4 linked regions of the Anolis sagrei genome follow. The protein of the gene in region 1 interacts with the protein of each later gene in a pairwise test. Links are inferred from orthologs where the notes say so. Each region holds a gene or a part of one and is shown in the gene's direction. Other genes may lie near its edges. The genes, in order: HMBOX1, ABITRAM, ASB7 and AEBP2.

Region 1 (8,661 bases):
GGATGAAAGAGAAAACCCTGCAATACAAAGAGGGTGAGAGTGAAGTTAAGGAAAGTTTTCCCACATATAGAAATATACCGCTCCTGGATGCTATCTGTTTATGATGAGGCTGTAGAAAAGGAGACAGAGTTATGCAGACCTCCAAATATTCTTGGACTGTAACTACTTGTTATAGTCTAAGCTGGCTAGGGCTCTTGGAACCTCAAGAGTAGTCATGGGCCCAGTATTTGTCTCATTTGTTTATTTCATGTTTTTGTTTCGTACCTTTGCCACCAATAGGCTGAAAATATTCTTTTTCGGACCTTGGATGGAAAAGCTCATTTGGAAAGGCGCTTGTTTTTGGGATAGGTGCTTGAAATTAAGACTCATCCCACCAAATGGGGAAGGAGTTGCAAAATTAAAAACAGAAATATAAAGGGAGATATGTGTGTGTGTGAATCATCTCTTCCTCCCACATTTTATTATTATATTATTATACTTACCTTATTTATTTATTTATTTATTTATTATCATCTCTTCAACGGTCTGGAGAACAAGCCCTATGAGGAGCGGCTTAAGGAGCTGGGCATGTTTAGCCTGAAGAAGAGAATGCTGAGAGGAGATATGATAGCCATGTATAAATATGTGAGAGGAAGTCACAGGGAGGAGGAGGGAGCAAGCTTGTTTCCTGCTTCAAACTACAAGAGAGGAGATTCCATCTGAACATGAGGAAGAACTTCCTGACTGTGAGAGCCATTCAGCAGTGGAACTCTCTGCCCCGGAGTGTGGTGGAGGCTCCTTCTTTGGAAGCTTTTAAACAGAGGCTGGCTGGCCATCTGTCAGGGGTGATTTGAATGCAATATTCCTGCTTCTTGGGAGAATGGGGTTGGACTGGATGGCCCAGGAGGTCTCTTCCAACTCTTTGATTCTATTATTCTATGGTTGTTAATGTTTCTTCCAGTAATTTTCATCCCGCCTTGCATTCCTCAAGCCCCGCACATGTGTTCTGTATACAAGCTGAATGGGTTGGGGGAGAGTATACAACCCTGCCGTACACCTTTCCCAATCTTGAACCAGTCTCCTGTTCCGTGGTCAGTTCTGACTGTTGCTCCTTGGTCCTTGTACAGATTCCTCAGGAGAGAGACAAGGGGGCTTGGGATGCCCATCCCACCAAGAACTTGCCACAATTTATTATGATCCACACAGTCAAAGGCTTTAGAATAGTCAATGAAGCAGAAGTAGATGTTTTTCTGAAACTCCCCGCCTTTCTCCATTATCCAGCGGATATTGGCAATCTGGTCTCTCGTTCCTCTGCCTTTTCTAAACCCAGCTTGAACGTCTGGCCACTCTCGCTCCATGTATTGCTGGAGTCTTCCTTGCAGGATCTTGAGCATTACCTTACTGGCATGAGAAATAAGGGCCACTGTGCGGAAGTTTGAGCAGTCTTTCACATTTCCCTTTTTTTGGTATGGGGATATAAGTTGATTTTTTCCAGTCTGATGGCCATTCTTGTGTTTTCCATATTTGCTGGCAAATGGCATGCATCACCTTGACAGCATCATCTTTCAAGATTTTAAACAGTTCAGCTGGGATCCCGTCGTCTCCTGCTGTTTTTGGGATAGGTGCTTGAAATTATAACTCATCCCACCAAAAGGGGCAGGAGTTGCAAAATTAAAAACAGAAATATAAAGGGAGGTGTGTGTGTGTGCGAATCATCTCTTCCTCCCACATTTTATTATTATATTATTATATTGACCTTATTTATTTATTATCATCTCTTCCTCCCATATTTTATTATTTTTATTATTTTACTGACACAAAAACAGTATGTCACAGCAAACTGGATTTCGTATCACAAAATCACAAGTCAAACATTTCCCAAGCGTCTGGGATTTATTTATTTATTTATTTACTTTGCTTCTATACCGCTGTATCTCAAGCCCGAAGGCGACTCACAGCGGTTCACAAACAGTAAAAACAGTAGAAACAGCAGTGGTGCCATGCAACATATAACAATTGACTTAACACATTATCCATAAATTACCAATAAGCAATTACAATGCACAATTATTACGAAAAACAACCGTACCCAATCTTCTCATCATCCAAGCGTAGTCCAGGTTCGTCGTCCATTGTTCCATTCCTATGTTCCATTACCAGATTGCACTAAATTACTCAAACGCCTGCACAAACATCCAGGTCTTCACCTTTTTGCGGAATACCATTAGAGATGGTGCTAGTCTAATGTCCGTAGGAAGGGCGTTCCACAGCCGAGGAGCCACCACCGAGAAGGCCCTATCTCTCGTCCCCGTCAGCCGAGCTTGAGAAGCAGGCGGGATCGAGAGCAGGGTCTCCCCGGAAGATCTCAAAGTCCTGGTGGGTTCATAGGCAGAGATGCGGTCAGATAGGTAGCTTGGGCCAGAACCGTTTAGGGCTTTAAAGGCCAACGCCAGCACTTTGAATTCAGCCCGGTAGCAGATCGGTAGCCAGTGGAGTTGGCGCAACAGGGGGGTTGTATGCTCCCTGCGCTCCGCTCCTGTTAAAATCATGGCTGCCGAGCGTTGGACTAGTTGGAGTTTCCGAGCTGTCTTCAAAGGCAACCCCACATAGAGAGCGTTGCAGTAGTCTAAACGGGATGTAACCAGAGCCAAGTCAGACTTCCCAAGGTATGGGTGCAGCTGGCGCACAAGCTTTAGCTGTGCAAATGCTCCCCTGGTCACTGCCGAAACCTGGGGTTCCAGGCTCAGCGATGAGTCCAGGGTCACACCCAAGCTGTGAACCTGCGTCTTCAGGGGGAGTGCGGCCCCATCCAACACAGGCTGTAACCCTATGCCCTGTTCGGCCTTGCGACTGACCAGGAGGACCTCTGTCTTGTCTGGATTCAATTTCAATTTGTTCGCCCTCATCCAGACCGTCACAGCGGCCAAGCACCGGTTCAGGACCTGGACAGCCTCCTTAGTAGCAGGTGGAAAGGAGTGACAGAGTTGGACATCATCCGCGTACAGATGACACCGTACCCCGAAACTCCGGATGATCTCCCCCAGCGGCTTCATGTAGATGTTAAACAACATGGGAGACAATATTGAGCCCTGAGGAACCCCACAAGACAATGGTTGTGGGGTTGAACAGGTGTCCCCCAACAACACCTTCTGAGATCGACCCTCCAGGAATGACCGGAGCCACTGCAAAACAGTACCTCCAAGACCCATCCCCGCGAGGCGTCCCAGAGGGATACCGTGGTCGACGGTATCGAAGGCCGCTGAGAGGTCCAGCAGCACCAACAGGGACACACTCCCCCTGTCGAGCTCCCGGCGCAGATCATCCACTAAGGCGACCAAGACTGTGTCAGTTCCATGCCCCGGCCTAAAGCCAGACTGTGCCGGGTCTAGATAATCCGTGTCTACCAAGAATACTTGGAGTTGTGAGGCCACCACACGTTCCAAGACTTTGCCCAAGAAGGGGAGATTGGAAACTGGCCGATAGTTGTCGAATTTAGTGGGGTCCAGTGATGGTTTCTTCAACAGCGGTTTTATTATAGCTTGTTTTAAGCTCGCTGGAATCTTGCCTTCCCGAAGGGAAGCGTTAACCACCACCTTAACCCACTCAGCCAATCCCCCTCTGGCCTCCTTTAGAAGCCAGGATGGGCAGGGGTCCAGGATGCATGTGGTTGGCCTCATTCCTCCAAGTATCTTGTCCACATCCTCGGGTTTCACCAATTGAAATGAATCCATCAAAACTGGACAAGCAGGTGCTCATGTTACATCCTCAGAGACTGCCATTAACATGGTATCCAGACCAGAACGGATCAAAGCGACTTTGTCTGCAAAGAACTAAGCAAAAGCTACACAGCGAGAAGTCGAATCGTCAGGGTTCCCACCTTGAGTGGTGGGATTTAAAAGGCCTCTGACAATTCGGAACAGCTCAGCCGGATGGTTCTTTGCAGACGCAATAGTAGCCGCAAAGAAGGCCTTCTTTGCGGCTTTTATTGCCGCGGCATATGCCCTTAAAAAGGACACAAACCGTGTTCGATTTGGCTCACTCGGATCCGAACGCCACACACTCTCTAGTTCCCTCTTCCTTCGCTTCATCGCTGCCAGCTCCTCGGTGAACCAGGGATTGTGTGATGTATTTTCGAATTGATGCGTATAGATCCAAGTCAGGTGGCCTTTTGTAGTTGACAGGTCGTGATTTTGTCAATGTTTATTGTTTCCAAATGCTGGCTGAGATCTTTTGGCACAGCACCCAGTGTGCCAATGACCACTGGGATCACCTGTACTGGTTTTCGCCAGAGCCCTTGCCATTCAATTTTGAGGTCCTGATCACGGCTGAGTTTTCCTGTTTTTCATTGTTTTTCCTCAATGTGACTGTCTCCTGGTAGGGTGACATCAATAACCCAACAGTTTGAGGGACTGTGATCTGGCCCTCTGTTTAAAAAGTTCGAGGACCCCTGCCCTAAATGGTTCTGGTCCAATTTACCTGTACGAATGCATCTTCCCTTATGAACCATCTAGGACTTTAAGATCGTCTGGGGATGCCCTGCTCCGGGTTCTGCCTTCATCAGACGAAGAAGACTAAGCTTTCTACAGGAGCTCTTGGTATTACGTCCTGCACGAAAGGCTTCTCTGTGTGGACTGAATCCCAAATGACTCCTATTCCCTTTGTTGTTCATTCGTTCAGTCGTCTCCGACTCTTCGTGACCTCATGGACCAGCCCACGCCAGAGCTCCCTGTCGGCCATTACCACCCCCAGCTCCCTCAAGGTCAGTCCAGTCACTTCAAGGATGCCATCCATCCATCTTGCCCTTGGTCGGCCCCTCTTCCTTTTGCCTTCCACTTTCCCCAGCATAATTCCCTACAAAACCCAAAAAGGGGGCAGGGCCAGGGAACCTAACTATAATTGACAGGTGGCTTGCCCTATGATTGCAGCCAAAAGAAGCCACCTATCTGCAGAGTCCCTGAAACTTAGGACTACAACAAACATTCTGTGCAAAGCAAACAAAATTGGAGCTCCTGGTACAACTGTACCTGCACAGTTGTACTGGATCACACATCGCACAATTATTATTATTATTACTATTTAAAACTTCCTCCAAAGTCCTCCCAGACTCACCAGCTTCATGCTTCACCCCAGGCTCTGTTTGTGGCATGCAGTCTCTTCCTTCCTGTTTCCCAACCGGAAGTGCTTCCCGAAGCATCCTGGGAAGTGTAGTCCTTCTCTCAGCCTCCTAATGATTCAGGAGAATGAAGTCATGGGCGGCCATCTTGTCCTGCCAGCAGCAGAGCACGCCGGGAAGCGTAGTCTCTACTCCCTCCTCCCCGCCTCCCTCCTCCAACCGCCGTCTAATCAGCGTCGGCGCAAGGCATGCCGGGATGGGTAGTTCCCAGCGGCGACTTGGCGCCTGCACCCTGGGGGAGGCGGAACTACAAGTCCCAGGGCCTCCCCGCGGCGGCAGGTGGGAGCTTGGATGTTGATATCAACATGGCGCTTGTCAGGCAGACAAAGGCAGTCAGGCTGGTCTGATTGAGGGCAGGGAAGCTTCCCCTCAACTTCTCCTCTTCAGGGCTCCAGAAGAAGGCTCCAGGTGAGGCCCATCTTATGCTAGGGCAGAAAATCAAGAGTTGTTTCTGAAAGGAGATTTTGGAGGAAAAGGGAAAGAAACAGGAGAGATTTGGAAGGAAGAAAGTGGCTCCTTCCCAAAGTGACTTTGTGGGGAAATGTCAACAGAGTTTTGGGGAGGAAGGACAAGAAGAGGTTGGTTTTCCTCATTCTCTGAGGAAGAGAGGCTTCCTCTTTGTGGGATATAGATATAGAGAGAGAGTTTAATCTATCTATACTATATACACATCCCCTTTGCAGGGGAAGGTTTGTTTTCTTCCTCTCTGAGGTAGAAATACTTCTTTTGAACTAGCTGTTTTGTGGGATATATATTTATAGTATAATATGTCTATATCTATTATATATAAATCATATATCTCTATCTATATCCCCTTTGCAAGAGAAAGAGATAGTTCTTTTGAAGTAGCTATTTTGTTGGATATAAATTTATAGTATAATATGTCTATATCTATATATATATATATATATAGAGAGAGAGAGAGAGAGAGGGGGGGAACCATATATCTCTATCTATATCCCCTTTGAAGGGGAAGGTTTGTTTGCTTCCTCACTGAGGAAGAGATACTTCATTTGAACTAGCTATTTTGCTGGATATATATTTATAGTATAATATATTTATATCTATAATATAGATAGATAGAGATATATAACCAAGGGAAGGTTTGTTTGCTTCCTCACTGAGGAATAGATACTTCTTTTGAACTAGCTATTTTGCTGGATATGTATTTATAGTATAATATATTTATATCTATAATATAGATAGAGATATATAACCAAGGGAAGGGTTGTTTTCTTCCTCACAGAAATAGAGAGACTTATTTTGGACTTGCAATTTTGTGTGATCTATATCCATCTATCTATATAGTATACTGTCTCTCTATGGATATATATAGTATATTATATGTATATCTATCTATATCTATATATCTCCCCTTTGCAGGGGAAGGTTTGTTTGCTTCCTCACTGAGGAATAGATACTTCTTTTGAACTAGCTGTTTTGTGGGATATAGTATAGTATATTTATGCTAACCCTTCCATTGGGAAAATAGCTTATTATATTTATCTATCTATCAATATATCCCCTTTACATGGGAAGGTTTGTGTTCTTCCTCTCTGAAGAAGGAGACTTCTTTTGAACTAGTTGTTTTGTGGGATATAGTATAATATATCTATGCTAACCCTTCCATTGGGAAAATAGCTTAGAAAGAAGATACAGTATTATATATCTATACCTATCAATATATCCCTTTTGCACATGAAGGTTTGTTTTCTTCCTCTCTTTTGAACTAGCTGTTTTGTGGGATATAGTATAATATATTTATGCTAACCCTTCCATTGGGAAAATAGCTTAGAAAAAAGATATAGTATTATATATCTATATCTATCAATATATCCCCTTTGCATGGGAAGGTTTGTTTTCTTCCTCTCTTTTGAACTAGCTGTTTTGTGGGATATAGTATAATATATCTATGCTAACCCTTCCATTGGGAAAATAGCTTAGAAAGAAGATATAGTATAATATTCCTATATCTATATATCCCCTTTGCAGTGGAAGGTTTGTTTTCTTCATCACTGAGGTAGAGAGACTTCTTTTGGACTAGCTCTTTTGTGGGATATAGATATCTAGAGAGAGTTTAATCTATCTATAGTATATATACATCCCCTTTGCAGGGGAAGGTTTGTTTCTTCATCACTGAGGTAGAGAGACTTCTTTTGAACTAGCTGTTTTATGGGATATAGTATAATATATCTATGCTAACCCTTCCGTTGGATAAATAGCTTAGAAAGAAGATATAGTATAATATTTCTATATCTATCAATATATCCCTTTTGCACAGGAAGGTTTGTTTTCTTCATCACTGAGGTAGAGAGACTTCTTTTGGACTTGCAATTTTGTGGAATATATATCTATAGTATAATACATCTATATCTATCTGCACTGTAGTTATATATGTGTGTGTGTGTATAATACGCTCTCTCTCTCTCTCTATATATATATATAGTATATTATATCTATATCTATATATCTCCCCTTTGCTGGGGAAGGTTTGTTTGCTTCCTCACTGAGGAAGAAATACTTCCTTTGAACTAGCTATTTTGCTGTATATATATAGTATAATATATCTATATAATATATAGATATATTATACTATATATATATACAGCAATATATATATATATAGAGAGAGAGGGATAATCATATATATCTGTCTATATCCCCTTTGCAGGAGAAGGTTTGTTTGCTTCCTGACTGAGGAAGAGATACTTCTTTTGAACTAGCTATTTTGTTGGATATATATTTATAGTATATTATATCTATATCTATCTATCCATATCTATATCTCTCCCCTTTGCAGGGGAAGGTTTGTTTGCTTCTTCACTGAGGAAGAGATATTTCTTTTGAACTAGCTATTTTGCTGGATATATATTTATAGTATAATATATCTATACCTATGTAATCATATATCTTTATCTATATCCCCTTTGCAAGGGAAAGTTTGTTTCCTTCCTCACTGAGGAAGAGATACTTCTTTTGAACTAGCTATTTTGTTGGATATGTATTTATAGTATAATATATCTATATCTATAATAGACAGATAGATAGAGATATATAACCATATATCTCTATCTATATCCCCTTTGCAAGGGAAGGTTTATTTGCTTCCTCACTGAGGAATAGAAACTTCTTTTGAACTAGCTATTTTGTGGGATATGTATTTATGGTATATCTATCTATCATCTATATCTATATAATCATATCTCTATCTATATCCCCTTTGCAGGGGAAGGTTTGTTTTCTTCCTCTCTGAGAAAGGAGATGTCTTTTAAACTAGCTATTTTTTGGATATATAATATAATATAATATAAATCCACTTGCAGGGGAAGGTTTGTTTTTCTTCCTCTCTGAGAAAGGAGACTTCTTTTGAACTAGCTATTTTGTTGGATATATACATAATATAATATAAATCCACTTGCAGGGAAAGGTTTGTTCTCTTTCTCTCTGAGAATGAAGGCTTCTTTTGAACTATCCGTTTTATTTTCTGTTCTCTATATGTATTTGCAGGG
Region 2 (8,095 bases), on another chromosome or scaffold:
TGCGGTACTGGCATTTTACCATTTTACCAAAAATAATGGATACTAAAACTATAAGGGATGAATTGTAAACTGTTTTGCCATTATTTAATATTGCAATTGTATCTACAGCATGCAGTGTCGATTTTTTGTCTTGTATATGGTACAAACATGTGAAGTGGTACTACTTTTAATGTCCCTAATATGGAATAAGCAACCTAAAGTTATCATTTCCATTGCTGCGGTCAATAGAAAAAAATAGTACTCAGAGTACGTCAGTTCTTAGGCTATAAACAAGTTTCTCAATGAAGATATTTAATATTGCATTGCCATTAAAATTACATGATCTTTGATCTATCTGCATTAAAGGTTTACAGAAACGTTCAGTTGACCTAAACATATAAAGCCAAACATCTGCAGTGAACAAATCTGTGCAGTTCCCTGTGGGAATTTGGCATATTTTTCACAAACCATGCAGTAGATGGAAGTGTTTGGCAGGAACATAAAGGTGGTGAACAAGGCAGGTTGCCAAAGATGGTGCTGCATTAATGGAATAGTTGAAGGAAAGAACTTTTCAGATAAAAGTAAGAAGATGATTGTAGGTAATCTTGCTGTCTGCTTTGTGTTGTAGTTTCTTTCTAAATTTAGCTGGGTATGTGAGCCTTCAGAAGCCAATGAGTAGAGAGAGTGAATTGTTGATTCGGAACAAGTTTTTCACACCATGCATATGCTAAAGATAGAAACAGTGATGGAAAGAATATACTACACTTCCGAAGTAACTGGATTCTTGCGTACTTGGTGCTATAAGATTTCATTATGAGTGTAACATAGAATTGCCGAAGTCCGAAAACATGTGATACGAGACATTTCATACTTTGACTTCATACAGTAACAGATTTGTTCATCAATATAATATCTTAAAGTGTCACCATCCACTATAATCCCAATCTGGGTAGAAAGATGAGATACACATTAAATAATGTTTTTTAAATGTGCTTCAAATGTCTTATGAAGTTTTTAAGCTCTTCAAGTGTAAAAAGTGTTTTATATTCTTTATTCATCTCCCAAAAACATAGCCAATCTCTATATAGTCACCTCTTTGTATTTGCAGGTACAACCATCCAGTTTCAAAACATATTTTGAATAATTAGGCCTTGATTTTACCATTTTATATAAGGGACACCATTCTACTAGACCATTTGATTTTGGTATTCACAGGTGTGTGTGTAAGCTACCAACTCCAAAGTATACCAAGGGCCATTGCACATAAATGAAGCTAAATATTAAGAGTTGAGTTACTCAAATTTTGTACTTCAAATCTATATATTTACCTTTATTTATGTACATACATTTTATTTACTCCAGGTTGAAGTTCAATCAAATGCATTCTACAAAACTGGACATGCATGTATATATTAGTGGGTCAAATCCGTGGATCAGAAACATTTGGGATAAAATGTAGCTTTTACATATGTAAGGTGGATGTTGTTAACATCTAGAAAAAGGTAGATTTTGCTACAAGTCAAAAAGATGACTTGTAGCAGAAGTCTTATATCTACATTTTGAGTAAAAAAAAATGCTCTTGACTCCTGAAATTTGGAATTCATTCCTCTATTTGACACAGCACTTAACTAACTAAAAGTCTTGAAAGAATAGAGGACTGGAATATACCTCTAAACTTTAAGTTGGATATGTATTGTTAACTGGCTTACCATGGACATTTTTTTGATAATAAAACATTTCAATTCATTATTGTTTGCTTATTTATACTTAAGAGAATAATTTGTAACATCCTAGTATGGTATGACAATTATAATGTACATTAAACAGGCACATTTTCTGCTCAAAACAAAAGTATAGTTTTAACCCACAGTATAATTTAAACCTAGACTTTGAAAAAATAAATAAATAGAGGGTGGATGACCATCTGTTAGGGGTACTTTGTACTTTTCCTGCATGGCAGGGGTTGGACTAGATGGCCTATGTGGTCTCTTCTGATTCTATGATTCTAAATATGAAATTTGATGAAGGTATGACTACAACAATGTCAGGGTACATTTTATCAAAAATAAAGTTATGTTGTTGTAGAAATCCCTGAACTTCCTTGTAGGCAGGCCAACACACCCTGAGATATAGCCCTTCAATCTGTTTAAAGACCTCTAAGGAAGGAAAGACCACCACCCTCATGTCAGTTGCTATCATTCTCAAATAGCTCCTACAGTGACGAAGGTCTTCCTAATGTGAAAGTGGAAGTCATAAAAGCACAACCTTATACACATGTTCTTGTTCTGTGCCTTCAGGTTGTTTCTGACCTATGGTGACCCTACGGCTAAACTACTATGAGGTTTTATCTTTGCTTTCATGTGTGGTTGAGACAGTAACTGGTGGGTTTTATGGCTGAAGGGAACTAGCCAGAAGAGCAGGAACCACCAAATGGGCTGTATTTATTTACTCTGAGGAGCTGTAATGACCCAGAGGTCTGTCTGGGGCCACTGCTGGACCCCAGCCACAATGACACTGGTTTCTCGTGTCTTGCAAGAGTGCCTGGTTTATACTGTCCATATAATGGGAGTTTCGAGTTACATTATATGGCAGTGTCGATGGCGCCTTTCTGTATTCCAAGTCTAGGAAGGTTTTGAGTAGCATTTCATTTTCAGACCTGCTTCTAAGTCCCTTCACATACTGTTACTCCTAACTAACACGGCCATGTCTTTGAATGCTTGGTTATCTATATAAATAAAAATGTAATGTCCATTTATGGGACTAACAGAACTCAAAAACCACTGGGGGAATTGACACCGAATTTGGACACAATACACCTAACAACACAATGTATGTCCTTCACTCATAAAAACACTGAAAAACACAGCAGAAGGGACTTCAAAAGCCCCGAAAAGCTAAATGACGAAAAGCTAAATGACAATACAGAAAAAAGGAAGAAAGAGGGAGGGAAGGGGAGAAAAGAAAGAAAGCGGGAGGGAAACCTGGAATATTGTGTCCAATTCTGGGCACCACAATTCAAGAGAGATATTGACAAGCTGGAATGTATCCAGAAGAGGGCGACTAAAATGATCAAGGGTCTGGAGAACAAGCCCTATGAAGAGCGGCTTAAGGAGCTGGGCATGTTTAGCCTGAAGAAGAGAAGGCTGAGAAGAGATATGATAGCCATGTATAAATATGTGAGAGGAAGTCATGAGGAGGAGGGAGCAAGCTTGTTTTCTGATTCCTTGGAGACTAGGAGGCGGAACAATGGCTTCAAACTACAAGAGGAGATTCCATCTGAACATGAGGAAGAACTTCCTGACTGTGAGAGCCGTTCAGCAGTGGAACCCTCTGAGTGTGGTGGAGGCTCCTTCTTTGGAAGTTTTTAAACAGGCTGGATGGCCAACTGTCAGGGGTGCTTTGAATGCAATATTCCTGCTTCTTGGCAGGGGGTTGGACTGGATGGCCCATGAGGTCTCTTCCAACTCTGATTCTATGAAAGAAAGAAGGAAAGGGAGAACGAAGTATGGAAGCAAAGAGAGAAGGAAGGAAAGAGGTAGAGAAGGATGGAAGGAGAGAAAGAGGAAGGGAAAGAAAAAGGGGGAAGGAAGGAAAGTTAGAGAAGGAAGGAGAGAAGGAAAGTAAAAAGGGAAAGAAGGAAAGAAAGTGAAGGAAGCGGGGATATGTAGAGAAAGAGGGAGGGAAAGTAAGGAAAGGGAGAAAGAAGCATGGAAGAAGAGAGAAGGAAGGAAAGAGAGAAGGACGAAAGGGAGAAAGAGGGAGGGAAAGAAAAAGGGGGAAGGAAGGAAAGTTAGAGAAGGAAGGCAGGAGAGAAGGAAAGAAAAAGGGAAAGAAGGAAGGAAAGGGAGCGAAGGAAGGGGGGGAAGATGTAGAGAAAGAGGGAGGGATAGAAAGAAGGAAAGGGAGAAGCAAGGAAAGGTAGAGAAGGAAGAAAGGAGAGAAAGAGGGAGGGAAAGAGAAGGGGAAGGAAGGGAAGTTAGAGAAGGAAGGAAAGAAGGAAAGAAAGAGTAAAGGAAGGGAGGGAGATGTAGAGAAAGAGGGAGGGAAAGTAAGAAGGAAAGGGAGAAGGAAGCATGGAAGCAAAGAGAAGGAAGGAAAGAGGTAGATAAGGAAGAAAGGAGAGAAAAAGGGAGAGAGAAAAGGGGGTGAAGGAAGGAAAGTTAGAGAAGGAAGGAGAGAAGGAAAGAAAAAAGGGAAAGAAGGAAGGAAAGAGGGAGCGAATTAAGGAAGAAGATGTAGAGAAAGAGGGAGGGAAGGAAATAGAGAAGGAAGAAAAGAGACAGCAGAAGAGAAAGGAAAGGGGGGAAGGGAGGAAAGAGATAGAAAAAGAAGGAAGGAGAGAAGGAAAGACTGAAAGGAAAGAGAGAGTGAAGGAAGGAGGGAAAGAAGGAGAGAAAGAGGGAAGGTTGGCCACAGCAACGCGTGGCGGGTATCAACTAATGTTATTATGCCTCACTCCCAGAGAGAGGTGGCATGTACCATACATACATACATAGTCATACCCTTGAGCCCGGAAGTTCCTGCTCAAGGAAAGAGGAAGGTGCTTTCTTCTCTTTCCTGTACTTTGCTGCTTGGGATTCTCTTCCGGGTCGTCGTTGGCTTAGCGGAAGGAGAGGGCCCCCGCCGGCGGCTCGCGGGGCAGGCGGGAAGGAAGTTAGCTGGGCGCATGCGCGCACTGCACGGGGGAGGGGGAGACTTTGACGCGCCGGCTGCCATGGCAACGGTGCCCGGGGTGACGGAGCGCTACTTCACCCGATGGTACAAGCCAGGTAAAGGGAGAAGCAGCCCTGGAGTGAAGGAGAACTGGAACAGAGGGAGGAGGCGGCTCAGGGCATGATCTTCTTTTCAAAAAGGCTTTCTCAAAGCATTGCAGGTTGAGCATCCCTTCTCTGGGATCCCAAAACACACCCAAAGCGCCCACCTGGGTGGCGAGAAGGCAGATATGAAACAGCAGTGCGTTTTGCATTTAGACTTGGGTCTTACCTCCATCAGTAATGGCCTGTGATCATGTTTGGCAGGCTAATAAAGGGCCCTTCCACACTGCTCTTTATCCCAGGATCTGACCCCAGATTATCTGCTTTAAAAAGGAATACATGAGCCCCCACTGCCAGATAACCTGGGATAAACAGATAATCTGGGATCAGATCCTGGGATAAAGAGCAGTGTGGAAGGGCCTTTTATTAGCCCTTGGTTTTTTGTTGTTCATTCGTTCAGTTGTCTCCGACTCTTCGTGACCTCATGGACCAGTCCACGCCAGAGCTCCCTGTCGGCCGTCACCACCCCCAGCTCCTTCAAGGTCAGTCCAGTCACTTCAAGGATGCCATCCATCCATCTTGCTCTTGGTCGGCCCCTCTTCCTTTTGCCTTCCACTTTCCCCAGCATAATTGTCTTCTCTAGGCTTTGCTGTCTCCTCATGATGTGGCCAAAGTACTTCAACTTTGTCTCTAGTATCCTTCCCTCCAGTGAGCAGCCGGGCTTTATTTCCTGGAGGATGGACTGGTTGGATCTTCTCACAGTCCACGGCACTCTCAGAACTTTCCTCCAACACCACAGTTCAAAAGCATCTATCTTCCTTCGCTCAGCCTTCCCTAAGGTCCAGCTCTCACATCCGTAGGTTACTACAGGGAATACCATGGCTTTGACTAGGAGGATCTTTGTTGCCAGTCTGATGTCTCTGCTCTTTACTATTTTATCGAGACTGGACATTGCTCTCCTCCCAAAGAGTAAGCGCCTCCTGATTTCCTGGCCACAGTCTGCATCTGCAGTAATCTTTGCACCTAGAAATACAAAGTCTGTCACGGCCTCCACATTTTCTCCCTCTATTTTCCAGTTGTCAATCATTCTTGTTGCCATAATCTTGGTTTTTTTACGTTTAGCTGCAACCCGGCTTTTGCGCGTTCTTCTTTCACCTTGATTAGAAGGCTCCTCAGCTCCTCCTCGCTTTCGGCCATCAGAGTGGTGTCATCTGCATAAGCCGCATCGAGTCCTTCGGGAGATGCTAGCGGGGTACAAATAAAGTTAATAATAATAATAATAATAATAATAATAATAATAATATCTGAGGTTGTTAATGTTTCTCCCAGCAATTTTACCCCAGCCTTGCATTTGTCAAGCCCCGCACATCGCATGATGTGTTCTGCATACAAGTTAAAAAGGTTGGGTGAGAGTATGCAGCCTTGCCGTACGCCTTTCCCAATCTTGAACCAGTCTGTTGTTCCATGGTCAGTTCTTACTGTTGCTACTTGGTCCTTGTACAGATTCCTCAGGAGAGAGACACGGTGGCTTGGTATGCTCATCTCACCAAGAACTTGCCACAATTTATTATGATCCACACAGGGACCGAGGGCAAGGGGCCGACCAAGGGCAAGATGGATGCATGGTACTGGATTGACCTTGAAGGAGCTGGGGGTGGTGACGGTCGGCAGGGAGCTCTGGCGTGGGCTGGTCCATGAGGTCACGAAGAGTCGGAGACGACTGAACGAATGAACAACAACATCTATGGCTGGATGGCTCTTTGTGAAAAGGGCTTTGATTATTTTGGACTGGATGGCCTTAAGGCAGCACTTCTCAACCTGGAGGTCAGGACCCCTGAGGGGGTCACAAAGTGGTGTCAAAAGGGTCACAAAAGAAAATCAGAAAACACAGTATTCTCAGTATTGTCGAAGGCTTTCATGGCCAAAATCACTGGGTTGTTGTAGGTTTTTTCGGGCTATATAGCTATGTTCTAGAGGCTATCCTCACTACCTCTGAGGATGCTTGCCATAGATGCAGGTGAAACGTCAGGAGAGAATGCCTCTAGAACATGGCCATATAGCCCGAAAAAACCTACAACAACCCACAGTATTTTCTGTTGGTCATGGGGGTTCTGTGTGGGAAGTTTAGCCCAATTCAATCATTGGTGGGGTTCAGAATGCTCTTTGATTGTACTGGGAACTATAATTCCCAGCAAATACAACTCCCAAACGGCAAAGTGTATTTCCCCCAAACTCCATCTGTGTCCATATTTGGGCATATGGAGTATTCATGCCAAGTTTGGTCTAGATCCTTCATTTTTGACTCCACAGTACTCTCTGGATATAGATGAACTACAACTCCCAAACTCAAGGTCAATGCCCACCAAACCCTTCTAGTGTTTCCTGTAGGTCATGGGAGCTCTGTGTGCCAAGTTTGGTTCAATTTCATCATTGATGGAGTTCAAAATGCTCTTTGATTGTTAACTATAAATCCCAGCAACTACAGCTCCTAAGTGACAAAATCATTTCTTAAAGTGATGGTCACTCCTTGGGTTAGTAGGTGTCTTGTGGCCAAATTTGATGGCAATTCGTCCAGCAGATTTTGCTACCATTTTCCTTCTTTTTTTCTCCTCCTTATACCACTTCGCCCCCATCCACACCGCCCCTATATCCCAGGATCTGACCCCAGATTATCTTTATATCCCAGATTATCTGGCAGAGAAGACTCATATAATCTAGTTTTCTAGATCCATTTCAATCTGGTTTCAGGCTGTGGTTGCCTTGGTGGATGATGCGGAGAGCTGGACAGGGGGAGTCATGACCTGTGGACTGTGGGGTTCTGCAGGGCTCATCCTTATCCCCAATGTCATTTAATATCTACATGAAACCGCTGGGAGAGATCATCTGGAGTTTCAGAGTTCGGTATCATCTGTATCTGGATGATGCTCAACTCTACTACTCCTTTCTATTGGATGCCAAGGAACCCATCCAGCACCTGAACCATTGCCTGAGGTCAGTAATGGACTGAATGAGGATAAACAATTTGAAGCTTAATCCAGATAAAATGGAAGTATTCCTGGTCTCATGTAAGATCGATCTGGGAATAGGGTTACAACTTGAACTGGAAAGGGTTACTCACTCCCTGAAATCTGAGATCAGATCATGGGTTATAGGGCAGTGTAGAGGGGGCCTTTTGTGTATATATATGTGTGACTATCTGTCTCAGCTCAGGATAACCATCTTTTTAGCTCCTCTCATAATTTTACTGCAATTAATTACCAAGGTGCCACTAAGGGCTGACTCTTCTTAGCTTCAAAATCAGATGAGATCTAGTGAATTTATAGAGTATTCAAGTCTCTAAGGCACTATTCAGTGCAGTATCT
Region 3 (7,788 bases), on another chromosome or scaffold:
TTCAAATTCTGCAGCACTGCTGGTCACAGCTGACCTCCAGCTGGATCGCTCAAGGGCCAGGGCTCCCCAGTTCTCAGTGTCTATGCCAGAGATTTTAAGGTTGGCTTTGAGCCCATCTTTAAATCTCTTTTCCTGTCCACCAACATTCAGTTTTCTGCTCTTGAGTTCGGAGTAGAGCAACTGCTTTGGGAGACAGTGGTCGGGCATCTGGACAATGTGGCCGATCCAGCGGAGTTGATGGCGGAGGACCATCGCTTCAATGCTGATGCTTCTTCCAGCATGCTGACGTTTGTCCGCCTGTCTTCCCAAGAGATTTGCAGGATTTTCTGGAGGCAGCGCTGATGGAATCGTTCCAGGAGTTGCATGTGATGTCTGTAGACAGTCCACGTTTCGCAGGCATATAGCAGGGTTGGGAGGGGAATAGCTTAATAAACAAGCACCTTGGTCTCCCTACGGATGTTCCGGTCCTCAAACACTCTCTGCTTCATTCGGAAAAATGCTGCACTTGCAGAGCTCAGGCAGTGATGTATTTCGGTGTCGATGTTGACTTTGGTGGAGAGGTGGCTGCCAAGGTAGTGGAAATGGTCAACATTTTCTAATGCTACACCATTAAGCTGTATCTCTGGCATTGGAGAGGGATTGGCTGGTGACTGCTGGAAGACCACTTTGAGCACTTTGGTCTGTAGACAGTTCATGTTTCGCAGGCATATAGCAGGATTGGAAGGACAATAGCTTTAAAGACAAGCACCTTGGTCTCCCTAAGGATGTCCCGGTCCTCAAACACTCTCTGCTTCATTCGGAAAAATGCTGCACTCGCAGAGCTCAGGCGGTGTTGTATTTCAGTGTCGATATTGACTTTGGTGGAGAGGTGGCTGCTAAGGTAGCGGAAATGGTCATATTTAATCGTCAATTAAATATAATACTATGAATAATATATAATATATAATGACAATACTGCTTTTTATTATTGTACATGTTAATGTATTGTCGAAGGCTTTCATGGCTGGAATCACTCAGTTCTTGTGGGTTTTTTCGGGCTATATAGAACATGGCCATATAGCCCGAAAAAACCCACAAGAACTGAGTGTACATTTTAAGTTGTCATGTTTTTGATTGTGAGCCGATTTGAGTCCTCGTAAGGAGAGAGAAAGTGGGATAGAAATCAATCAATCAATTAATAAAATAATAATAATAATACCTGCGTGACCGCATCTCTGTATATGAGCCCACACGATCCCTCCATTCATCTGGAGAGGCCCTACTCACGATCCCACCTGCGTCACAAGCGTTTTTGGTGGGGACGAGGGACAGGGCCTTCTCTGTGGTAGCCCCTCCCCCCGACTCTGGAACTCTCTCCCCAAGGACATCAGACATGCCCCAACGTTGGCAGTCTTTAGGAAGAGCTTGAAGACCTGGCTGTTCAGTGTGCCTTTCCAGAATAGGAAACTCCCAGCATCATGTCCCGGACGCACTTTACTAGAGATTTAAGATTGCCTGCACATTGCACCTACTCTAAAATCCTTATATTTCACCTGTCATGTCCAGCACTTCTTAATTTTATTCATTACATTTGGCTCGGCCCTAGTTTTAAATGTGTCATGATGTATTGTTTTAATGTTTTACTCTTATTGCTTTAATGTTTTATTGGTTTGCTTTATGAGTTTTATTGTTGTATTTGTTATGTTGTTGTTTTATTGAGGGCCTTGGCCTTAGTAAGCCGCACTGAGTCCTTCGGGAGATGTTAGCGGGGTACAAATAAAGTTAATAATAATAATAATAATAATAATAATAATAAATCATTCCCGACACCAAGAGTTTTTGCTTGTTTGCATGCTGGTTGCACGATCATCTATGCTGATGATCGTGCCATTACTGCTCAACCAGGGAGCTTTGAGACGGTAAAACAGAAGCTCTCCGAAACTCTAGGTGCTCTTACTGCCTATTATAGGGAAAACCAGCTGATCCCTAACCCATCTAAAACACAGACATGTGGCTTTCATCTCAAGAACAGACAAGCATCCCAAGCTCTGAGGATGGCCTGGGAAGGAATCCCACTGGAGCATTGCAGCACACCCAAATACCTGGGGGTCACTCTGGACCGTGCTCTGACCTACAAGAAGCACTGCCTGAACATCAAGCAAAAAGTGGGTGCCAGAAACAATATTATACGAAAGCTGACTGGCACAACCTGGGGATCACAACCAGATACAGTGTAGACATCTGCCCTTGCGCTATGCTACTCTGCTGCTGAGTATGCATGCCCAGTGTGGAACACATCTCACCACGTTAAAACAGTAGATGTGGCTCTTAATGAGACATGCCACATCACCACGGGGTGTCTGCGCCCTACACCACTGGAGAAATTACACTGTCTAGCTGGTATTGCACCACCTGACATCCGCCAGGAAGTAGCAGCCAATAGTGAAAGGACCAAGGCAGAGACATCTCCAGCTCATCCCCTGTTTGGGTATCAGCCAGCACGTCAACGACTTAAATCTAGAAATAGTTTTCTAAGATCTACAGAGACACTCGCTGGAACACCTCAGCAAGCGAGAGTCCAAAAGTGGCAGGCTCAAACCCAGTACGTCAACCAATGGCTGATACCAAATGAGAGACTTCCCCCTGGGCACACAGAAGACTGGGCGACTTGGAAGGCGCTCTGGCACCACGAGATGCAGAGCCAACCTTCAGAAATGGGGCTACAAAGTGGAATCCTCGACATGCGAGTGAGGAGAAGAGCAAACCACTGACCCCCTGCTGCAATGCAACCTGAGCCCAGCCACATGCACAATGGAGGACCTCCTTGTGGCAACACCAGAGGCACTCCAAGTGGCCAGATACTTGTCAAAGGACATTTAATCAACTACCAAAGTCACAAGTTTTGTATTTAGGTTCTTGTGGGTTTTTTCGAGCTATAGGGCCATGTTCTAGAGGCATTTCTTCGGGAGAGGCCCTTCTCTCCATCCCGCCTGCTTCACAGGTGCGGTTGGCGGGAACGAGAGATAGGGCCTTTTCTGTGGTGGCCCCTCGGCTTTGGAATGCCCTCCCTATAGAGATAAGATCAGCCTCTTCGCTGATGGTATTTCGTAAAAAACTGAAAACATGGATGTTTGAGCAAGCATTCGGTTAACCCGATGCAAGGAAATTCTTGACCTAGGACCGGCAATTACTGACAATGAAATAGGATCATGATTAAATTAAGAGACGCATTGGTCTGTATTGGTGGCCCAATACTGTGAAGTGTATATGTATATGTTTTATATTTTTAATTGGAATATTGTTGTTTTAATGTTGTTGTAAACCGCAATGAGTCGCCGTTTTAGGCTGAGATATTAGCGGTATACAAGCGTACTAAATAAATAAATAAATTTCTCCTGACGTTTCGCCTGCATCTATGGCAAGCATCCTCAGAGGTAGTGAGGTCTGTTGGAATTAGGACAATGGGTTTATATATCTGTGGAATGGCTGGGGTGGGGCAAAGAGCTTTTCTCTGCTGGAGCTAGGTGTGAATGTTTCAACTGACCGCCTTCATTAGCATTTGAAGGCCTGCCTGAGCCTGGGAAAATCTCTTGATGGGAGGTGTTAATCTGTGCCTGGTTGTTTCCTCTCTGTTGTTTTGCTGTTGTAATTTTAGAGTTTTTTTAATACTGGTAGCCAGATTTTGTTCATTTTCATGGTCTCTTCCTTTCTGTTGAAATTGTCCACATGCTTGTGGATTTCAATGGCTTCTCTGTGTAGTCTGACATGGTGGTTGTTGGTGTGGTCCAGCATTTCTGTGTTCTCAAATAATATGGCTGACTTATCTGGTTGAAGTAGTCTGCAGTTTTGTATTTGTCTGTTTGTTTGCTTTGTTCTGTTAGAAATGTAATATAATGGACTGGTTGCTCTGACAGGACAAATAAATAAATAAATAAAAACCAAGAGTTTTTGAAAGTGGTGTCGCTTTGATGCCGGAAATGTGCAGAAACGTGTTGCTGTAAGATTTGTCACCCTCTTAGAGGTTGTGAAGGAGCAGAAAGGAGGAAAAAAAGTGGTCGAGGCGTTTGGGACGCTGGCGCCGTCCAATGGCGTGACGGCGCGAGGCGGGAGGCGGGCGCGGATTGGCTGGGAGAGGAGGTCAGGCCCTGCCCGGTGACCCCGGGCGAAAAGAGAGACAGGAAGGAAGCAGAAGGAAGGAGGTAGCAGCAGCAGCGGCGGCGTCTTCTCCTTCTTCTCCTCGCCTTCTCCAGCCAGGCGTCTCCTCCCGGGTCCCTTCTCTGCCTTCTGAATGAGGAAGAGGTGCCGGGAGAGGGAGGCTGACTGACAGGTAACGGCCGGCGCGGGGGCGGGACTTGGCGGCCCCTCGACCAATCCAGGGAGGAAAAGGCCCCCGACCCGGGCCTCCCGGGCCTCTTCCTTGGTGGTCGCGCACGCCGCCCCCGTGATGCCATTCGATGCCAGGAGTGGGGTCGCCTCTCACGGGATGCCAGGGTGCCTCCCACTTGACCAAGCTGTAGGGTGGGGATTGTTGTGATTATGACCATTATGGCCCCTTCCACACAGCTGAATAGAACCCACATAATTCTGCTTTGAACTGGGTTATATGGAAGTTGGGACTGAGGGCCCTTCCACACAGCCCTCTATCCCAGAATATCAAGGTGGAATATCCCCCATTATCTGAATGTGGGCTCTGATAACCCAGTTCAAAGCAGATATGGTGGGATTGTATGACTTGATATTCTGGGATAGAAGGGCCCTCAGATAACCCTTCCACACAGCCATATAACTCAGGACATCTAGGCAGATCATCCACAATAGCTGGTTTGAACTGGGTTATCTGAGTCCACACTGCCATATAACCCAGTTCAATGTGGATTTTATACAGCTGCGTGGAAGGGTTCTAGGGCCCTTCCACACAGCCCTCTATCCCAGAATATCAAGGCGGAAAATCCCACGTTATCATAGAATCCCACGAACTGGGTTATATGGCAGTGTGGACTCTTATAACCCAGTTCAAAGCAGATATGGTGGGATTCTATGCCTTGATATCCTGGGATGGAAGGGCCCTCAGATAACCCAGGCCCCTTCCACACAGCCGTATAACTCAGGACATCTAGGCAGATCATCCACAATAGCTTCTTTGAACTGGGTTATCTGAGTCCACACTGCCATATAACCCAGTTCAATGTGGATTTTATACATCTGTGTGGAAGGGTTCTAGGGCCCCTCCACACAGCTCTATATCCCAGAATATCAAGGCCCTCAGATAACCCAGGCCTCTTCCACACAACCGTATAACTCAGGACATCAAGGCAGATCATCCACAATAGCTACTTTGAACTGGGTTATCTGAGTCCACACTGCCATATAACCCAGTTCAATGTGGATTTTATACATCTGTGTGGAAGGGTTCTAGGGCCCTTCCACACAGCTCTATATACCAGAATATCAAGGCCCTCAGATAACCCAGGCCCTTTCCACACAGCTATATAACTCAAGACATCCACAATAGCTGGTTTGAACTGGGTTATCTGAGTCCACACTGTCATATAACCCAGTTCAGTGTGGATTTTATACAGCTGCGTGGAAGGGTTCTAAGGCCCTTCCACACAGCCCTGTATCCCAGAATATCAAGTCAGAAAATCCCACATTATCAGAGTGTGGACTCTGATATCCCAGTTCAAAGCAGATATTGTGGGATTGTATGCCTTTATATTCTGGGATAGAAGGGCCCTCAGATAACCCAGGCTACTTCCACACAGCTATATAACTCAGGACATCAAGGCAGATCATCCACCATAGCTGGTTTGAATTGGGTTATTTGAGTCCACACTGCCATATAACCCAGTTCAGTGTGGATTTTATACAGCTGTGTGGAAGGGTTCTAGGGCCCTTCCACGCAACTCTATATCCCAGAATATCAAGGCAGAAAATCCCACATTATCAGAGTGTGGACTCTTATAACCCAGTTCAAAGCAGACATTGTAGGATTGTATGCCTTGATATTCTGGGATAGAAGGGCCCTCAGATAATCTGGCCCCTTCCACACAGCTATATAACTCAGGACATCAAGACAGATCATCCACAATATATTGTCAAAGGCTTTCATTGCCGGAATCAACTGGGTTGTAGGTTTTTTCGGGCTATATGGCCATGGTTCCGGCCCAGCTTATCTATCCGAACGCATCTCTTCCTACGAGCCCTCCAGGAAGTTAAGATCATCTGAGGAGGCCCTGCTCTCGATCCCGTCTGCTTCGCAAGCACGCTTGGCGGGGACGAGGGACAGGGCCTTTTCTGTGGTGGCCCCTCGGCTATGGAACTCCCTGCCTAGGGATATTAGATCAGCCCCCTCCCTCCTGACTTTTCGGAAGAAAGTAAAAACCTGGCTCTTCGAGGAAGCCTTCGGAACCTCGGAATAGATAGTCAAACTTGAGATGGAGAATGACCCAGGAACAGCCAAGACGATGAAATGGATGAGGATTGGAATGAGAGGATATAGCTCTTTTTAAATTGTTATTGCACTGTCTTTTTTGTCTAAATGCACTTAATTGTTTTTGCTGTTGTATTGTATTGATGGCATCGAATTGTGCCGATATGTAGTCGCCTGCGGGCTGAGTCACCTGCGGGCTGATATGGGCAGGATATAAGTGATGTAAATAAATAATAAATAAATGGTCTAGAGGCATTCTCTCCTGACCTTTCGCCTGCATTTATGGCCAGCATCCTCAGAGGTAGTGAGGTCTGTTGGAACGAGGAAAAAGGGTTTATATATCTGTGGAATGACCAGGGTGGGACAAAGAACTCTTGTCTGCTGGAGCTAGGTGTGAATGTTTCAACTGACCACCTTGATTAGCATATAATGGCCTGACAGTGCCTAGAGCAAACCTTTTCTGAGAGGTGATTAGATGTCCTTGTTTGTTTCCTCTCTGTTGTTGTGCTATTGTAATTTTAGAGTTTTTTAATACTGGTAGCCAGATTTTGTTCATTTTCATGGTTTCCTCCTTTCTGTTGAAATTATTATTATTATTAAACTTTATTTGTACCCCGCTAGCATCTCCCGAAGGACTCGATGCGGCTTACAAAGACCAAGGCCTCAACAACAACAACAGACAATAACAATATAATACAAGCAAATTAAAAACATAAGCAATAACAACAACAAAACATTACACTATTACACAATAAAACCAGGGCCGGGCAAATAAAGGGTACAGGTTAAAAGTGCTGGGTGTAAGAGGTGATATGTTGGGATTCTGGGTAAGTGCAATGTGCAGAGAGTCTTAAGCTCTAATAAAGTGTTTCTGGGATGTAGTGCTGGAGGTTATCCTATTCCAGAAAGGCACATCGGAATAGCCAGGTCTTCATGCTTATGGATTTCAATGGCTTCTCTATGTAGTCTGACATGGTGGTTGTGAGATTGGTCCGCATTTCTGTGTTCTCAAATAAAATGCTGTATCCAGGTTGGTTCATCAGGTGCTCTGCTATGGCTGATTTCTCTGGTAGCTTCAGCAGACAAGAGTCCTTTGTCCCACCCTGGTCATTCCACAGATATATAAACCCTTTCACCAGAGAAATCAGCCATAGCAGAGCACCTGATGAACCAACCTGGATACAGCATTTTATTTGAGAACACAGAAATGCTGGACCACTCTCACAACCACCATGTCAGACTACACAGAGAAGCCACTGAAATCCACAAGCATGTGGACAATTTCAAAGGAGGAAGCCATGAAAATGAACAAAATCTGGCTACCAGTATTAAAAAAAACTCTAAAATTACAACAGCACAACAACAACAGAGAGGAAACA
Region 4 (7,823 bases), on another chromosome or scaffold:
TATCTACACCGTTCATCACTATCTCACTTAATCTATAAAGCAGCGCTAATGCTACCAGAAGAAATATAGCCATTTTGCAATGCTGCGTCCAACAGGTGTTTTTGCTTTGTGCCAACTTACAGAGACCCAAAGGCAAACCTATCACAGGGTTTTCTTGGCAAGATTCATCCAGAGTCTTTGCCTTCCTCTGAGGCTGAGAGTGTTCAACCTGCACAAGGTCACCCTGTGGTTTTCTACAGCTGAGAGGGGATTCGAACCCTATTCTCCAGAGCAGAAGTCCAAGGCATGAACCATTAGACCACACTGGTTCCCGGTTTAACGGTTGGGAACTCATTTCAGCCCAATAATCTCATTCAATTTTAGAATAGTTCTCAGGTGGTTGGCACTCCGAGGGTGGCTGTGTTCAAAGGCAAAAGGATTTTGAAACCCAAAGGCAATAGGGTTTTGAACTTTTTACTTACATAATAAGTAGGCATTTAATACACCCCAAGGTATTTTCCACAAAAAAGGATGTTAAAATGACAGGTTTAGAGTATCCATTTAACGAAAAGTTTACAATGAAATTCTATGCAGGCCTATTCAAAGCACAATCCTGCAAGTCCAGTGGGACTTTATTGGTTACATCTGTATAGAAACACTGCCTGAACTATTTTGGAAGATGAGTGTAGACTAGAACTTTAAAAGGGGAAGGTGGGTGTACTTTTTCTATATGGCCTTGTTATTTGCTGAGCTCACAGTATGAGTGAGTGTCTTGTTTCCCTTTGTTTGAGAAGATTTTGTTGCGTTCTTAATAGCTTCAAGATATTTGGGTAAAGCCTCCAGTTGCTCCCACTGTAATAGTGCAGAAATCTGCCATTTGCTCCTCCTTTGGGATGAAATCCAAGCCAATCATGGGTTTTGCCCAGTAATCTGTGTAGACAGAGTCAAGCTTGCGTGATGGATAGGGTCACCGGCAGTTCAAGCCCATGGACAAGGGCCAATTTCGACTGGCTGGGAGAAACCTGACACCATAAAGGAGGTCTACGGGATCCAATTAACAGATAGAACCATGTGCGGCATGGAAGATTCGAGAAAGCCACACAAAGAATGGGCTGTTTGTGCAACAGTTAGCATGAAGGCGGGAAAGGTTTCACTAATTTGGAATCACTGAATCACAGAATTCTACAGCTGGAAGAGACACTGGGGTCAACTAATCTAACTCAATGCTGGTCAATGCCAGTCTAGATTGAATGTGTTCTGTTTAGTGGGTTATGATTGCAGACAACCTTTGCTTCAGAAAACAGACTAATGTGTCAGGATGCCAGAGCTAACACAGGAGAGGGTTTTTGTACCTTTTATAGTTGTGCACAAGAGGGGATTTTTAGCAGGTGTTGCTTATTACTTGGTTGCATCAAAAATTCCCTCTTCTACCCAACCAATAAAGATGCCAAAGTCTCCCCAGCTTTTGGTCTGACAAGTCTGCAACGTGTAGATTCACAGGAGTAAATTAATGAACTGTGTTGCCACTTACTAGTTCTCCAAGCAGGGATCAGGTGATTCTAACATTTTCTGCATCTGCACCCAGGGATGGAAAAACTGTCACCTGTAGCTCTAGCATGACTTCCCCAACTAGCCTCCTGCTCCTTTCCAGACGTCTCCTACCATCTGCATCCTCATCTCAACCATGAACAACAGTGATGTGGTGAAAACAGGCCTCATAAACTGGGAGCACTGGGACTTTTTGATTTGCAGAACCATAGAATATCTGACACTTCAGTAGTCAACCAAGGTCCTGGTAACTCTAATTGAGTCCCTATTCCCACTAGCCAAGTAGACTGCATACAAAATGGAACACTTGCTGGAAGACTTCCACATACCTCCAGCTAGCTCACATCGTCACATCAGACCTGTCAGCTATCACTGCTGTCTACAATATAATACAATATAACGATAACAGTTATAACTAGTTAAAACAATCAAATTAATACAATAGCAGCAATAAAATCATCTTGTGGTCAATGTTTGCCAATTCATAAATCCATAATCCAGGGGTCCTCAAACTTTTTAAACAGAGGGCCAGGTCACAGTCCCTCAAACAGTTGGAGGGCCGGATTATAGCCTGGGGAAAAAAATGAATGAATTCTTATGCACACTGCACATATCTTACTTGTAGTGCAAAAGACACTTAAAAACAATACAATAATTAAAATGAAGAACATTTTTAACAAATACAAACTTATTAGTATTTCAATGGGAAGTGTGGGCCTGCTTTTGGCTGATGAGATAGGATTATTGTTGTTGTGTGCTTTCAAGTCATTTCAGACTTAGGTTGACCCTGAGCGAGGGCTGGGTAAGTGACCTTGGAGGGCCGCATCCGGCCCCTGGGCCTTAGTTTGAGGACCCCTGCTATAATCCATCCAGCATTGTCAATTGTCCTTTCCTACTCTGGTTGTCGTTGTCCTTTATCCATCTGCCAGCTTACCCAAAGGCCTGGTCCCATATCCAGGTTTTTAACTTCCTTCTGAAAGAGAGGAGGGATGTTGATGACTTAATTTCCCCGGGGAGTGCATTCCACAGGCGAGGGGCCACCACCGAGAAGGCCCTGTCCCTCATCCCCACCAGTCTCACTTGTGATAAAGGTGGGGCTGAGAGCAGGGCCTCCCCTAAAGATCTTAAACTCCAAGGTGGGATGTAGAAGGAGATACGTTCGGACAGGTACGCTGGGCCAGAGCCGTAAAGGGTTTTGTAGATCAAAACCAGCACTCTGAATTGTTGAAAACATTCACACCTAGCTCCAGCAGACAAGAGTCCTTTGCCCCACCCTGGTCATTCCACAGATATATAAACCCATTTTCCTAGTTCCAACAGACCTCACTACCTCTGAGGATGCTTGCCATAGATGCAGGCGAAACGTCAGGAGAGAATGCCTCTAGTCTAGACCATGGCCGTATAGCCCGAAAAAACCTACAACAACCCATGTATAAATATGTGAGAGGAAGTTAAGAGGGAGGAGGGAGCAAGCTTGTTTTCTGCTGCCCTGGAGACTAGGATGCAATGGAACAATGAGATTTCTACAAGAAATAAGAATCCATCTGAACATTAGGAAGAACTTCCTGACTGGGTTTTTGTAGGTTTTTCCGGGCTATATGGCCATGTTCTGGAGGCAATTTTTCTCCTGACGTTTCGCCTGCATCTATGGCAAGCATCCTCAGAGGTAGTGAGGTCTGTTGGAAGTAGGAAAAATTGGTTTATATATCTGGAATAACCAGGGTAATGTTTCAGCTGATCACCTTGATTTGCATTCAATGGCCTGGAAGCGCCTGGGGGGAATCTCTTGTTGAGAGTGAATTGATGTGCCTGATTGTTTACTCTCTGTTTTGCTGTTGTAATTTTTGAGTTTTTTAATACTGGTAGCCAGATTTTGTTCATCTTCATGGTTTCCTCCTTTCTGTTGAAATTGTCCACATGCTTGTGGATTTCAGTGGCTTCTCTGTGTAGTCTGACATGGTGGTTGTTGGTGTGGTCCAGCATTTCTGTGTTCTCAAATAATATGCTGTGTCCAGACTGGTTCATCAGGTGCTCTGCTATTGGATAATAACTATAAACATGGATATGGAAGCAGGCCTTTGAAAACAGTTGACTATATCGTAAGCAATGGAGGTTTTTAATTGATTCCAATGCCAACTGGATTTTAATTGGTGATTAATAGGTGCTGGTTTTTGCCTCTTATGTATAATATGTTTTATTTCAGCACACAATTTTATACTTATCATACTTTTATACTAATATGCTGTGTCCAGGCTGGTTCATCAGGTGCTCTGCTATGGCTGACTTCTCTGGTTGGAGTAGTTGCAGTGCCTTTCATGTTCCTTGATGCGTGTCTGGGCGCTGCGTTTGGTGGTCCCTATGTAGACTTGTCCACAGCTGCATGGTATACGGTAGACTCCTGCAGAGGTGAGAGGATCCCTCTTGTCCTTTGCTGAACGTAGCATTTGTTGGATTTTCTTGGTGGGTCTGTAAGTGGTTTGTACGTTGTGTTTCCTCATCAATTTCCCTATGTGGTCAGTGGTTCCCTTGATTTATTTATTTACTTTGCTTATATACCGCAGTTCTCAGCCCAGGGGCGACTCACTGCGGTGTACAACATAGAAGAACAAGGTACAAAATTCAAGACACAATCTAAAATATCAATCTAGCAAAAATCAAAAACATCATCAAACACTTTTCCTCTGGGTGGATCTTCATCTTTACTTTCGTGGCTTGTTCTCGGTTTTGCAGCTCTTCTGATGTCTGAGTTAACCTCCTGACTGTTAACTTAACTTCCTGACTGTTAAGAGACGTTCAACAGTGGAACTCTCTGCCTCGGGAGAGTGGTAGAGGTTCCTTCTTTGGAAGCTTTTAAACAGAGGCTGGACAACAACAACAATAACTGGTTCATACATTCTTGAACGTCCCTATTTCCCTCGGCCTTCTGCGCTTATCCCTCGCCTCCCACCTCGCTTTGCCTCCAAGCGCAGTTGGACGGGCTGCCTGTCCTTGCCTCACTTTTGTCCCCAGGCGGCTTCCATAACGCGCGCGCGCCAGGCCGCGCATGCGCACCCTCGCCGCCAGCCAACCGCCCGCCCGCGCGCACGCTCCTTCCCTCCCTCCGTCCGTCCGTCCGTCCGTCATCCCGCTGCAGTGGGAAGCTCCTCCCCTTTTTTCGTGAGGGAGAGAGAGAGACGGGAAGAAGGGAGGGGAAGGCGACAACATGGCGGCCGAGCTGAGCAGCGGCGAAGGCGGCTCCCCGTTGCTCTGTCCTCCTCCTCCTCTTCTCCTTCCTCCTCCAGGCGCCTCTGAGGAGGCCTCTCCCTCGCCGCTGGTGGAAATGGAGGCCGAGGCCTCGCCCGTTTCTGAGGCTGAGCCCACGGCGCTGCTGCTGAGCGGAGAGGGGGCGGAGAGCATGTCGGAGTCCAGCCCGGAGAGCGCCAGCCAGGCGGGAGACGGAGACGACGAGGAGGAGGAGGACGATGAAGTGGAGGAGGACGACGACGAGGATTCCTCCAGCGGGTGCTGCAGCGACGAGACCCGCTCCCTCAGCCCGGAAGCCGACGCCAAGGCCTTGCCACTGGGAGGAGGCGGAGGAGGAGGAGGCCTAGCGGGGCCTTTGACGGAAATCTCCGCCATCGAAGGAGGAGGAGGAGGAAGCGGCAAGAGCGACGACGGCGGAGAAGGAGGAGGAGGAGGCCTCATTGGCGGAGGAAGCAGCAGCAGCAGCAGTGTCTCCTCCGCCTCCTCGTCCTGCTCCAGCAGCGAATCCAGCCGCGACGAGGGCTACAGCAGCCGCAGCGGAGGCAGCGAAGGAGAAGCCGGGGGAGAAGGAGAAAGAGGAGGAGGAGGAGGCAGTACGTGCAGCGCCTCGTCGGGCGGACGCAGGGGCAGCATGGAGGTCTCCTCCTCCGACGGAGAGCCTCTCAGCCGCATGGACTCCGAGGACAGGTCCGAAATTAGCGCCTCCATCCCCTTCCCTTCCTTTCCCTCTCTTCCTTCCTTCCCTGGTTTGGAATAGGTGCTCTCTTGAATTCCCTGTCTCTTATCAGCATAGGTCCTTTGCCTTGAGTGCTGGGGAACTGTGCAGGGTTCTTTGCCTTGAGGGATGGAGTCCAACTGCATTCACGCTGCAGTGTAGACACTCCCTTTGCCCCCCTTTCTTAAAATCACTTTTATACCAGGCATGGCCAAACTGCAGCCCTCCCTCAAGTTTTGGACTTAGGACCTCATCACACTAAGTAGGGGATGGGGGCCCCTGGAGGGGGGGGGGTTGCTAAAGACCATCAGGAAACACAGTATTTTCTGTTCATCATGGGGGTTCTGTGTGGGAAGTTTGGCCCAATTCTATCATTAGTGGGGTTTCAGAATGCTTTTTGGTTGCAGGTGAACTATAAATCCCAGCAGCTACAACACCCCTGGGGGGGGGGTCATGAGGGGGTTTCAGGGGGTCATCAAAGACCATCAGAAAACACAGTATTTTCTGTTCATCATGGGGGTTCTGCGTGGGAAGTGTGGCCCAATTCTATCATTAGTGGGGTTCAGAATGCTTTACGTCCCACCTCGGAGTTTGAGATCATCTGGGGAGGCCCTGCTCTCGACCCCACCACTGTCACAAGTGAGGCTGGTGGGGACGAGAAGCAGGGCCTTCTCAGTGGTGGCCCCTCACCTGTGGAACTCACTCCCGAGGGAAATCAGAGCATCACCCTCCCTCCTCTCCTTCAGGAGGAGGGTGAAGACATGGTTGTGGAACCAGGCCTTTGGGCAACCAGGCAATTAAATAAGACAATTAAATAAGACAATCAGATGTGCAAGATCAGCAGGATTGTCGAAGTGAAATCAAAAACAGATCTGTGAGTTAGTGTACACTGATAGGGTAGGAGGAAGAATTAGGTTTGTATTGATTTTATTGATTTTATCGATTTTATCGATTTTTTATTGTTTTTATTGGGATAATGGCTTGAATTGTGGTAACTATGAATTGTTGCACTTCTGTGATGATTGTTTTGTGTGGCAGGCATCTAAGCGTGCCTTTGCTGTTGTAAGCCGCCCTGGGTCCCCTACAGGGTGAGAAGGGCGGGGTACAAGAACCCCAAATAAATAAAATAAATTTTTGGTTGCAGGTGAACTATAAATCCCAGCAGCTACAACATCCCTGGGGGGGGGGTCATGAGGGGGTTTCAGGGGCGTCATCAAAGACCATCAGAAAACACAGTATTTTCTATTCATCATGGGGGTTCTGTGTGGGAAGTTTGTCCCAATTCTATCATTGGTGGGGTTCAGAATGCTTTTTGGTTGCAGGTGAGCTACAACTCCCAAATGTCAAGGTCTATTTCCCCCCAAACTCCACCAGTGTTCACATTTGGGCAGATAGTGTATTGGTGCCAAATTTGGTCCAGATCCAAAATTGTTTGAGTCCACAGATTTGAGCCATATACATTGTCCATTAATTCACATGTGTTGCCCTATGCCAGCATTTATCAATCTGGGGATCAAGACTCCTGGGGGAGTCACCAAAGACCATCAGAAAACATAGTATTGTTTTTGTATAGGAAGTTTGGCCCAGCTCTATCATTGGTGGGGTTCAGAATGCTTTTTGGTTGCAGGTGAACTATAAATCCCAGCAGCTACAGCACCCCTGGGGGGGGGTCATGAGGGGGTTTCAGGGGGGTCATCAAAGACCATCAGAAAACACAGTATTTTCTGTTCATCATGGGGGTTCTGCGTGGGAAGTATGGCCCAATTCTATCATTGGTGGGGTTCAGAATGCTTTTTGGTTGCAGGTGAGCTACAACTCCCAAACATCACGATCTATTTCCTCCCAAACTCCACCAGTGTTCACATTTGGGCAGATTGTGTATTGGTGCCAAATTTGGTCCAGATCCATCATTGTTTGAGTCCACAGATTTGAACCATATACATTGTCCATTAATTCACATGTGTTTCCCTATGCCAGCATTTCTCAATCTGGGGATCAAGACTCCTGGGGGAGTCACCAAAGACCATCAGAAAACACAGTATTTTTTGTTGGTCATGGGGATTCTGTGTGGGAAGTTTGGCCCAATTCTATCATTAGTGGGGTTCAGAATGCTTTTTGGTTGCAGGTGAACTATAAATCCCAGCAGCTACAACTCCCAAATGTCCAGGTCTATTTTCCCCCAAACTCCACCAGTGTTCACATTTGAGCAGATTGTGTATTGGTGCCAAATTTGGTCCAGATCCATCATTGTTTGAGTCCACAGGCCTTTCTGGATGTAAGTGAACTATGATTCCAAAACTCAAGGTCAATGCCCACCAAATACTTCCAGTATTTTCTG

Evidence for each region.
Region 2: the proteins of HMBOX1 (region 1) and ABITRAM interact in binary tests that used the Homo sapiens proteins (3 or more experiments, as listed by UniProt). The two-hybrid records come from large-scale screens. The link is inferred for Anolis sagrei from reciprocal best matches to the Homo sapiens genes HMBOX1 and ABITRAM.
Region 3: the proteins of HMBOX1 (region 1) and ASB7 interact in binary tests that used the Homo sapiens proteins (3 or more experiments, as listed by UniProt). The two-hybrid records come from large-scale screens. The link is inferred for Anolis sagrei from reciprocal best matches to the Homo sapiens genes HMBOX1 and ASB7.
Region 4: the proteins of HMBOX1 (region 1) and AEBP2 interact in binary tests that used the Homo sapiens proteins (3 or more experiments, as listed by UniProt). The two-hybrid records come from large-scale screens. The link is inferred for Anolis sagrei from reciprocal best matches to the Homo sapiens genes HMBOX1 and AEBP2.

Annotation. Positions count from the first base shown.
Region 1 is NC_090021.1:8,091,055-8,099,715, forward strand, and holds the start of HMBOX1 (homeobox-containing protein 1), read left to right. Parts: upstream 1-5,404; 5' UTR 5,405-5,560; intron 5,561-8,661. Other genes in the region: INTS9 (integrator complex subunit 9), read right to left, coding at 5,089-5,097. UniProt on the Homo sapiens protein: Binds directly to 5'-TTAGGG-3' repeats in telomeric DNA. Associates with the telomerase complex at sites of active telomere processing and positively regulates telomere elongation.
Region 2 is NC_090024.1:105,132,003-105,140,097, reverse strand, and holds the start of ABITRAM (protein Abitram), read left to right. Parts: upstream 1-4,575; 5' UTR 4,576-4,645; coding exon 4,646-4,748; intron 4,749-8,095. UniProt on the Homo sapiens protein: Actin-binding protein that regulates actin polymerization, filopodia dynamics and increases the branching of proximal dendrites of developing neurons.
Region 3 is NC_090029.1:13,385,298-13,393,085, reverse strand, and holds the start of ASB7 (ankyrin repeat and SOCS box protein 7), read left to right. Parts: upstream 1-4,157; 5' UTR 4,158-4,306; intron 4,307-7,788. UniProt on the Homo sapiens protein: Probable substrate-recognition component of a SCF-like ECS (Elongin-Cullin-SOCS-box protein) E3 ubiquitin-protein ligase complex which mediates the ubiquitination and subsequent proteasomal degradation of target proteins.
Region 4 is NC_090025.1:183,640,146-183,647,968, forward strand, and holds the start of AEBP2 (zinc finger protein AEBP2), read left to right. Parts: upstream 1-4,647; 5' UTR 4,648-4,729; coding exon 4,730-5,457; intron 5,458-7,823. UniProt on the Homo sapiens protein: Acts as an accessory subunit for the core Polycomb repressive complex 2 (PRC2), which mediates histone H3K27 (H3K27me3) trimethylation on chromatin leading to transcriptional repression of the affected target gene.